Linked DNA regions of Kluyveromyces lactis. The protein of the gene in region 2 purifies or fractionates together with the protein of the main gene of each other region. This does not show direct contact. Links are inferred from orthologs where the notes say so. Each region holds a gene or a part of one and is shown on either strand. Other genes may lie near its edges. The genes, in order: FPR1, FAP1 and SMU2.

Region 1 (2,484 bases), on a different chromosome or scaffold from region 2:
AATTCAAATGCGAGTGGCTCAAAATGTGTGTGTTCAGCGAGAGGATATCGTGGATTAAATGTGTGGAGAGGGCAGTGAATTTGAATCAGAGCAGAGTTAAGCTTGATTAACTGATCAATTAAGACTTCGAGACTTTTTTCCTAAAACTGCATGTTACTTGACTTACCTCAGACAACCATTCAGCAAGGAATGGGATTCGAGTTGAGAGAATATTCCGAAAATAGCGAGATCAAGACGGATATGGACTTACAATAGTGTGCTCGGTATTAAACCTTGCACCAGAAAACTGTGGGTATCTTGTGAAATGACTACAGTGTCTTATGTGAAATTCCAATACATCATCACTAGGAGCAGGTTAGTTGGCTGAAAGTGGTAACAAAAGAAAAGAAGTTTGAATGTACAAAGAAGAAACGATCAACGCGAATAACTTTATTTCAGCCTGTGGGCCTAGAAACAGTATGAAACAGTGCACGAGTCGAAACTTGCTTTCAGTGGTATTAACAGAATAGGCAAAAAATGCGGAAGAACCATTTGATCCGTCATTGAGAAACTGTGAAGACGAAATCGGAGAACTCTTTAGTCCACCTTTCATTCGATAGCCCATGGTTACGGAACTGAATTGCAAGACTATGTACATTTTTGTACGACGTAACATATTCGCTGGGCAGTTTCTTTTCTGCGGCTCAGTCAACGGAATATTTTGCAATACTAAATGAAACTTCATAACATGTTAGCTAATAAGCCGCTCTAAGTATCACCAATTCCGTTTATGAATAAGAGTCGATGTGCTACTGTGAATTCACATCTACTCGACTACAAGTTGACCAGCACAATTAGGATCAACCTGCTTTTCCAGAAATGTTCTCTTCTAGACCCAGTAACCAAGAATTTGCTCACTTTCCCTTAACAGGTATCGAGGCGTTAATTCTAAATAAAGCAAATGAGGGCTGAATTACAAAGCACCATACCTCAAAGTTTTGAAAACCTGGCTCTTGCTATAGTTATTCACCTTTTAATTATCAAGCAATTATAAATCTCAAACACTTCTGGACATACAGATGCGGACAGAGCATAATAGCAAATGAGATATTTCGTAGGATATTCGATGTAGTACGGCTTAGTGACGTCGGTTGTTGTTCAGGAATGTACAATTTCAGGTGATTTAAAAACCCTATGCTAAAAGGTTCGATGATCTTTATTTGAACTGACCTGAATGTTGGCTGTGCTGCCGTTGCGTCTGCTCAAACCTCTTACAGGCATGTTTCCGCGAAAAGTGATTGCTTAAGTAAGAAAGAAAGAATGCAGTCACGTGACAAATGCTGAAAGTCTTGAAGTCATTAAATACGTTACCACTGCTTCTAGAAATCATTATCGTTCAGAAAACAAAAAGTTTTCATTTCTATAATAAGGATTCCTACATTCTACACGAAACTGTTGCAATTACGAGGCCAATTGAGTGCTATTTTGTGTCAGTTTAATCCGTTATTGTATTGCAGTTTTAAAATAACTCAGCTATCACACATCAAACAGCAGAAACAATGTCCGAAACAATTGAAGGTAACGTTCAAATTCTAAGATTATCACCAGGTGACAGTACCAACTTCCCAAAACCAGGCGATTTGGTAACAATCCATTACACTGGTACTTTGGAAAACGGTCAAAAGTTTGATTCTTCCGTTGATAGAGGTTCTCCATTCCAATGTAACATTGGTGTAGGTCAAGTTATCAAGGGTTGGGATGCTGCTATTCCAAAGTTGTCCGTTGGTGAAAAGGCAAGACTAACTATCCCAGGCCCATACGCTTATGGTCCACGTGGTTTCCCAGGTTTGATCCCACCAAATGCTACTTTAGTCTTTGATGTTGAATTGTTGAAGATTAACTAGATGTATAATGTCATTCTTCTGAATAAAACACATACTATTAATTTCCTTCACATTTTTTCTTTGGTTTCTCCCTTGATTCCTTCCAATTGGTCCCATCCATTATTATTATTATAGCTTTACATCTTTCCGTACCTTCTCATCAACCTTTCAACATGGGAATTGCTATCAAATTGTAGCCGTAGTGTTTGTATGCTTCCATTTTAACATTCAATTTTTGTACATCAACGAAATGCCTATAATATAAACCATTAGCTATATTATGTTGTTATTGCATTATTGAAAAAACAATCAAGAACAACTACTTCCTGCTTCTAAGCCTGCTCGAGAGCCTTGTAGTTGGTTTTGTTATGGATTTTCTTCTTGTTCTCCTAGCTGGAGAATCCACGTCGGCAAGATCTTCAGGAACTTCCTCCGCAGCGGCAACTTTTTGTTTCTTAGGGCGCGGCTGTTGAGATGATTCCGTTTCGTTCTCTTCTGCTTTCCCTGTCGGCGAATTAGCTGATTCCTTGGCAGCACCTTCAGATTCATCAGCAAATGTGACTTGTTTTGTAGCTGTAGTATCTGCGGCATCAGCAGTCGATTCTTTTTCGCTACCAGATCT
Region 2 (4,253 bases):
TGTTCATTATATTGGACACCTCCGTACTTGTCCTTGTTAGCTTCATAAGTTTCTCTGCATACCTCTCTGAAAAGACCATCAGATTGTGAAAGAACATTGGATTTGTGAGTAACTGTTAAAGTGGCATGACCGTTCTGTTCCAATCTCTGTTGAGCGATTTGTAGAGCGATAGTAGCAATGTTTTTGGTTGCTATTTCGGTAATTCTCTTGGTAGCATCTGCAACTCTGGTTCCGGTGGCTTCATCGATGTATGACTTTTCCAATTTAATGTATAAATCTTCAGTGTTTTCTCTAACGATGACTAGGTCAACTTTTCTGTCCTTAGTACCATCAACAGATTTAACAGGACGAACGTTAGCGAAAAGTCCCAAATTCTTTCTTAGGGCAACGATTGGAGAAGAGTAACCTTCAACCTTAGTCGTTGGTGATTGCACAGCACCAAATAAAGCACCTTCACATTGGTTCTTCAAGATATCAATGGTTTCGTCAGGGAGTGCCTTACCGGTGTTTTGGAAGGTTTCCCAACCAGCTTGCAAATCAATGAATTTAAACGATAGACCGTACTTTGGGTTCAATGATTCTAAGATCTTCTTACCAGCAGGAATAACTTCTTTACCAATACCATCACCTGGAATTAAACCAATTGTTAAATTCTTCGCATTGGAAGCGTAAGCACGACGGGACAATTGAATGAAACGTGTTCTCATCATATTGAATGGTTGTTATATAGCGAAATGAAACAATTCGCTGCTTGATCTTCGGGACAAGTAGTTCGATAACCTTAAAACAAAGTAAAATGTGATGGTTTTCACAGAATCAACTACAGCTGCAATCCAATCCAAATCGTAACACTGGGGTGTATTTATAGTTTACAGGTTATTCAGTTTCCTGTAACTCATATTTCTTTCAATGATCCCAATGACTGGTTGATGAAATTTCGAATTTCCACAGGAATTTATCTGCGATTCATTGGGAAACTGAAAACTCCCTTTCGAGCATTTTGAAAGTAGTCAGGTGACTAAACGATAGATAACCGTATGCCTTCACGTAATACATAAACATATATGTTGACACATCAAGGAGGACTTCTAGATCTGATGTTGCAGCATATAGCATTGCTAGTTCGATATCGATGGGATTTTGTCGTCAGTACAGGTTTTAGGTTATACGGATTTTGGTACAATTCTCTCTTTTTTCTTTTGCTGCCTTTACACTTTTTTTCACGTTTTTGTATGTAAAAGTCATCTCATCTCATCCCGTCATACCGACTCTTAGCTTAAATCTAAAATATAAGCGTCCATTCCATCAAACGCGTCACTTGATCGCAGCAGTTGAATTAGAAATGACTGCTGAAGAGCTAATATACCCAGAAAGTGAGCCAAGGCTCTATTCCTCTGATTCGGATTTTGACAGTGATAACGATGAAGATACCAATATTCCTTACTATGAGCAAACCGTTAAAGAAATCAAAGATGGTGATCAGTATGTGTGCATGATTTGTACAGTGGAGCTTGATTCTACATGTCGGATGTATGCGTGTGATTCCTGTTATAGAGTTTTCGACTACGAATGTGTCAGGGAATGGGCTTTAAAATCTACAAACAAAACGTTAGATAAGTCTTGGAAGTGTCCCAACTGTTACAAAATCAACCATAAGATTCCAAAACAGAAAAGAAGTACCTGTTGGTGTGGAAAAGTTGTCAATCCAGATGTTAATGAGCTAGATCCTAATTCCTGTGGTCAAACTTGCAATGCATATTCATGCGTACATGGTTGTTCCAAGGTTTGTCATCTCGGTCCACATCCTGAGTGCCTGATCCCTGTGCAAATTAAATGCAAATGTGGAAAACACTGTAAGCAAATCCCTTGTTCTAGGTCTAAAGTTCTAGGAAACTCCTATAATTGCGGTGATGTTTGTGGTTTACTTTTGCCTTGCGGAAAACACACTTGCCAAAAGACTTGCCATACTGGATTTTGTGGTCCCTGTGAAAGTATAATAAAAACAGAATTGCCTTGCTATTGTGGTTCTGATGTTAAGTCTGGGATTCAATGTTCCGATCTTAGAGTTTTGGACTATTCTAAAGATGTGAGTGGCAAAAAATGGATCGGTGTGTATTCATGTGGCGAGGTTCGAACTTTACATTATTCTTGTGATCACCATACATACGTGGAGCAATGTCTTGCGCCTGCAGGTATAGATAGGTCGAGACCCTGTCCATTTTCTCCCAAGACTCTCAAGACATGTCCTTGTGGAAAAACTATGCTAAAAGAGCTGGATAAACCCAGGAGGAAATGTACTGATACGATTCCGACATGTTCCAATGTATGTGGGAAACAGTTATCGTGCGGGAAACATACGTGTCCTTTTTCATGTCATACAGGTGATTGTATGGACCCATGCTTAATTATTACAAAGACTCCATGTACATGTCACTCGAAGACGTTTCTTACTCCTTGTCAGCTTCATGATACCCCTCGCTGTAACATCAAATGCGAATCGAATATGTCCTGTAGAAGACACAAATGCATGGAAATATGTTGTTCGGGGAAACCAGCTGCTAAGAAGCGAGAGAAAACTTTGTTCCTGAAAAGAGACCTTAACAATGAGACTCTAGTAGAGCCTGAACATGTCTGCTTAAAACAATGTAATTTAAAACTGAGTTGTGGGATACATGATTGTACATGGAAGTGCCATCCTGGCAAATGCCCACCATGCTTGGAATCGGATCCAAATGATTTGGTATGCCCGTGCGGGAAGACTGTCGTTCCAGCTCCTGTTAGGTGTGGTACCAAACTACCTCCGTGTCCAAATCCTTGTATAAAAATTTCTGAGGGCCCAGCTCCGTGCGGACATAGAGTTGGACCTCATAAATGTCATCCTGCCGGTACAGACTGTCCTCCTTGTACGGCTAACGTGATTAAAAAATGCAGATGTTACAAAAAGCACGATATGCGTACGTTGTGTCTTGTTCCAGACTCTCAGGTGGCCTGTGGTACCGAATGTGGGCTGCCATTAGCAACATGTCATCACAAATGTCAGAAGAAATGTCATGTTGAAGGAGAATGCGAAATCAAATGTGCCAAACCATGCGGGTTGAAAAGAAGTTTATGTGGACATCTTTGTAAAGAAAAATGTCATGGTAATTCACCATGTCCGGAGAAAGTATGCCATGAAAAAGTCGTCATCACTTGTGACTGCAATCGTCGAACAAAACAGGTTGAGTGTGGTGCTACCCACGACACTCAAAGTAGATCAGAAACTGAAAAATTGCCATGTGATGAAGAATGTGCAAAGTTGCAAAGGCATATGGAATTGATGGAGGCTTTTGGGATGAATGAAAAGCCCAAAAATACAAAAGAGCAACTGGAATCCATTGTTCTTGTTGCTAAAAAATTTGATGATCTAAATATGCCTTACTCTGAATTGGTCTTGAACGTTTACAAAAAACAAGTGAACTGGTGTGATCAAATTTGTGCTGTTTTTGATAAATTCATAGAGGACACTCAAAAATTAAGTCTTCATTTGAAACCAATGAGAGTACCACAGCGTCAATTTATCAAAGAGTTGGCATCTGCATACGCTCTCTACTCCGAAAGTCAAGATCGAGAACCAAATAGATCAGTTTACCTAAAAAAGATCCAATCACAATCTAAGAAGCCGGAGTTAACACTCAAGGACGCATCAGAACTCTATCAACTATTTAAAACATTAGAAAAGGAAAGAATGCAAGAACATTACTCAACAAAAGTCACGAAAACCTTAATTAATATCCCCGCATCCGAGACACCTTTACCGGCCCCATACGAGGGCCCTAATGCAATAGTCATTTCCGGAGTGTTCGATTCAAGCCAAATAGATAATATCGAACCTCTGGTGCATGATTTCTTGAAGTATACTTTAGTGAAAACACCTCAATATCGCTTCTTGAAAGACTTAAACTCAGTTTTGATTTTCCCAGAGAATTATTCGGGTATAACAAAAAACACTGCAAGTGATATGGAAAAAGTCATTCCGTTTATAAAGACAGCACTACAAGATCAAATGTTGGCTACAGGTGTGGAAATGTGTCAAGTTGATGAGAATTTGTCCCTAGTGTCTCAAGCATAAGAGAAAAAGCCGGCCAAAAAAGTACATATATAAAAAAACTGACGCACCTATAGTCTACAGACTTTTCATGCATAACACCTCAGCAGAAGTTTCATAGCCTTCATTTATTTATACACTATAGAGAGAACATATTCAATTGCAGATT
Region 3 (2,662 bases), on a different chromosome or scaffold from region 2:
GCTGGTGTGTTGCTAATGAGAAGATCCATGGCCATGAAATTGGGTTTGGAAATCGTTGGTAAGTACGTTGCGTTCCAGGCAGTAGGTGTTCCACCTGAGATCATGGGTGTTGGCCCAGCATATGCGATTCCAAGAGTCCTCAAAGACTGTGGTTTAAATGTCAACGATGTTGATGTTTACGAGATTAATGAGGCCTTTGCAGGGCAGGCCATTTTCTGTGTCAACCATCTAAAAATCGACAAGAAGAAATTGAACCCAAGGGGAGGCGCGATTGCCTTAGGTCATCCTTTGGGCTGCACTGGTGCCAGACAAGTCGCTACCATATTAAGGGAATTAGACGCTGGTCAAATTGGTGTTGTTAGCATGTGTATCGGTACTGGTATGGGAGCTGCTGCAGTCTTCGTCAAGGAGTGAGTGAATATTAACGTGTGTATAATGTAGTTTCCCTCTTCTGTAATGACCATTTCGATGAATATGATGAGTAACTCATATTATTCGCTACTGTGTTTTTTTTTCAATCAGAGAGTTTTGACATCAGATTCTTCTGTACCGTGTCCCTATTTATATACTCCGGAGACTGCAAAGAATTCCAGTTGGTAACCAAATAGTTTAATTGTATAACTAGCGGCTGTTTATCTTTGAGTAAAGCTTTTGATTTATAATTGAAATTGTTTACAATTCGTGATAACGGGTCATCTGAAGAACAGTCTTTCGGTTTACTTAGCTTTATGGCGGATTGAGGATAATCGACCGGAATGTTGAAAACACATTTCACTTTCTTTTGATTCTGATCTTGATCAGTGGTAATAAACGTTAGCGAGTAGGTCGTGACATATTGTCCTTTCCTTAACATTACAATATCTGACCCAGCCAAATGGCACAATTGGTCAATTTCGGCTTTTCTTTGCAACTTCAAGGCATTTCTCAATTTGAATTTTTTCTCTGCATTTTCATTATGGGATGATTTGGCGGTAATTTCAAGACTGGTTGCCTTCTCTGCAGGTACTGATTTTTCTGCCTTTGACCGTCTCCCTCTCTTCCTCCTATAACTATGTCCAGCATTTTTTCTCTTGTCAGCTTCACTCTCTTTCGTATGTTTAATTACGCCATTCTCAACTTTTCCTGCAGCTTTCGCAGACATGATGGTAACCCGATTGCTTGGCCTGATATTTAGAATCTCTCAAAATAATATCTACCGAGCAGAGTACGCTGAAACGGTTGAGATACCAATGGTTATATAGCTTAAGTTCTTTTTCATAGCTCCCTCATTCTCTATAAACTGATCTCATCTCATATTTCATTAACTTACCATGTCTACTGCCTAAATGCATAAAGTTTCAGTTTTTTTTCACAAAATTGGTACCTGATTGTTGTAGAAAAAACGTGACCAGAGTTGCGACACTGCCTCAATGAATACCGACTCATTCCTGAAGGCATCGAATAAAGAAACATATAGTCATTGGCGGTCAATTTCTGGAGATTTGAAAGTGAATTCAATCTATCAAACTTGATATTCAACCTCCTTAGTTTCTGAATTATGATGTTTTGACTATTACGTGGCTTCTGAGCTTTCAGGTGTTCACCTCTAATACTGTTCTTTGATGGTATCGAGAAGGCAACAAACAAAATCTCGAAGATCATGATCTTCCTCATCTTTTTGAAATTTATTAAAGAATACTACAACTTTTTTAGACTTCCGTGGAAAACATTTCCTATTTAAAGCAAAAAACGAGCTTTCCTTTAGTTAATTGAGGTTTTTGACGGTCAACATAAGTAAATCTAGGAATACTATCACCATTTAATCTCTAGTTAGCATTCCGTAAAAAATTTGTGGCACGACATACTCTCTGCTGTTTTCTCCTTTGTTACATTTTTGAGCGCTGCATCGACCGTTCTATGTTTTGTTTAAATATGCAGGATACGCCATTTTTGTATTTTAATTCCGAATTAATAACGACTTGAAGAGCATTTTTTCCCTAAACTGAACCTTAAACTCAAAACAATAACAGAAAAATTCCGTAAAAAACTTGAATCTGTGCGCTAAAAAAGCTGTTTCTTAATTGAATGAATTTTGGATGGGAGATATATATATATATTCTCACACATCAAGATAAATAAGTAACTGATTGAAAATCTATATTCTTCTATATTATAATTGAAATAGTACAACTTTGGCATGATATTTGTTCCAGTTTAGAGGATTCATTTAAAGTGATTGACTTCGTTATTTTTTTGGACATTGAAAGGGAATATTAACTTAGATGGGGATAAAGTCATGATCAGGATTGATGATATTCTGATAAGCACCAATTGCAACATTAGCTTTGATGGCGTTTAGCTTGTCTACACTATTTTTAGCAACTGCCATTCCGCTGTCGGTGATTTTACTCAAAAGGTCGATGAAATGGACATAAAGCACATCATCTTCAGCTATAATACATGTGAGTGCTCCTACGAACAACGATGGATGGCAGCACACCCCACAAGATGAGTAATAAGGGTTGCTATAAGAAGTTTTCACCATTGTGTATAGAATACTTTTGATCTCAGGAGATTTTGGATCAACATCAAGAAAGTACACCTTGAGATAGACTTCCATTAGAAAGTAAAACATGCTATGCGATGCAAGCATTGAAAATTTCAACCTTAGGTCAGTCACGTC

What was found.
Region 1: the proteins of FAP1 (region 2) and FPR1 purify together in Saccharomyces cerevisiae (affinity purification with mass spectrometry; 3 studies listed by BioGRID). This does not show direct contact. The link is inferred for Kluyveromyces lactis from reciprocal best matches to the Saccharomyces cerevisiae genes FAP1 and FPR1.
Region 3: the proteins of FAP1 (region 2) and SMU2 purify together in Saccharomyces cerevisiae (affinity purification with mass spectrometry; 3 studies listed by BioGRID). This does not show direct contact. The link is inferred for Kluyveromyces lactis from reciprocal best matches to the Saccharomyces cerevisiae genes FAP1 and SMU2.

Annotation. Positions count from the first base shown.
Region 1 is NC_006037.1:1,009,866-1,012,349, reverse strand, and holds FPR1 (peptidylprolyl isomerase FPR1), read left to right. Parts: upstream 1-1,538; coding exon 1,539-1,883; downstream 1,884-2,484. Other genes in the region: EAF7 (Eaf7p), read right to left, coding at 2,182-2,484. UniProt on the Saccharomyces cerevisiae protein: PPIases accelerate the folding of proteins. It catalyzes the cis-trans isomerization of proline imidic peptide bonds in oligopeptides.
Region 2 is NC_006041.1:747,127-751,379, reverse strand, and holds FAP1 (Fap1p), read left to right. Parts: upstream 1-1,342; coding exon 1,343-4,108; downstream 4,109-4,253. Other genes in the region: LYS12 (homoisocitrate dehydrogenase), read right to left, coding at 1-710. UniProt on the Saccharomyces cerevisiae protein: May play a role in transcription regulation.
Region 3 is NC_006042.1:999,378-1,002,039, reverse strand, and holds SMU2 (Smu2p), read right to left. Parts: upstream 1,142-2,662; coding exon 515-1,141; downstream 1-514. Other genes in the region: POT1 (acetyl-CoA C-acyltransferase), read left to right, coding at 1-414; KLLA0_F10835g (Zn(II)2Cys6 transcription factor domain-containing protein), read right to left, coding at 2,258-2,662.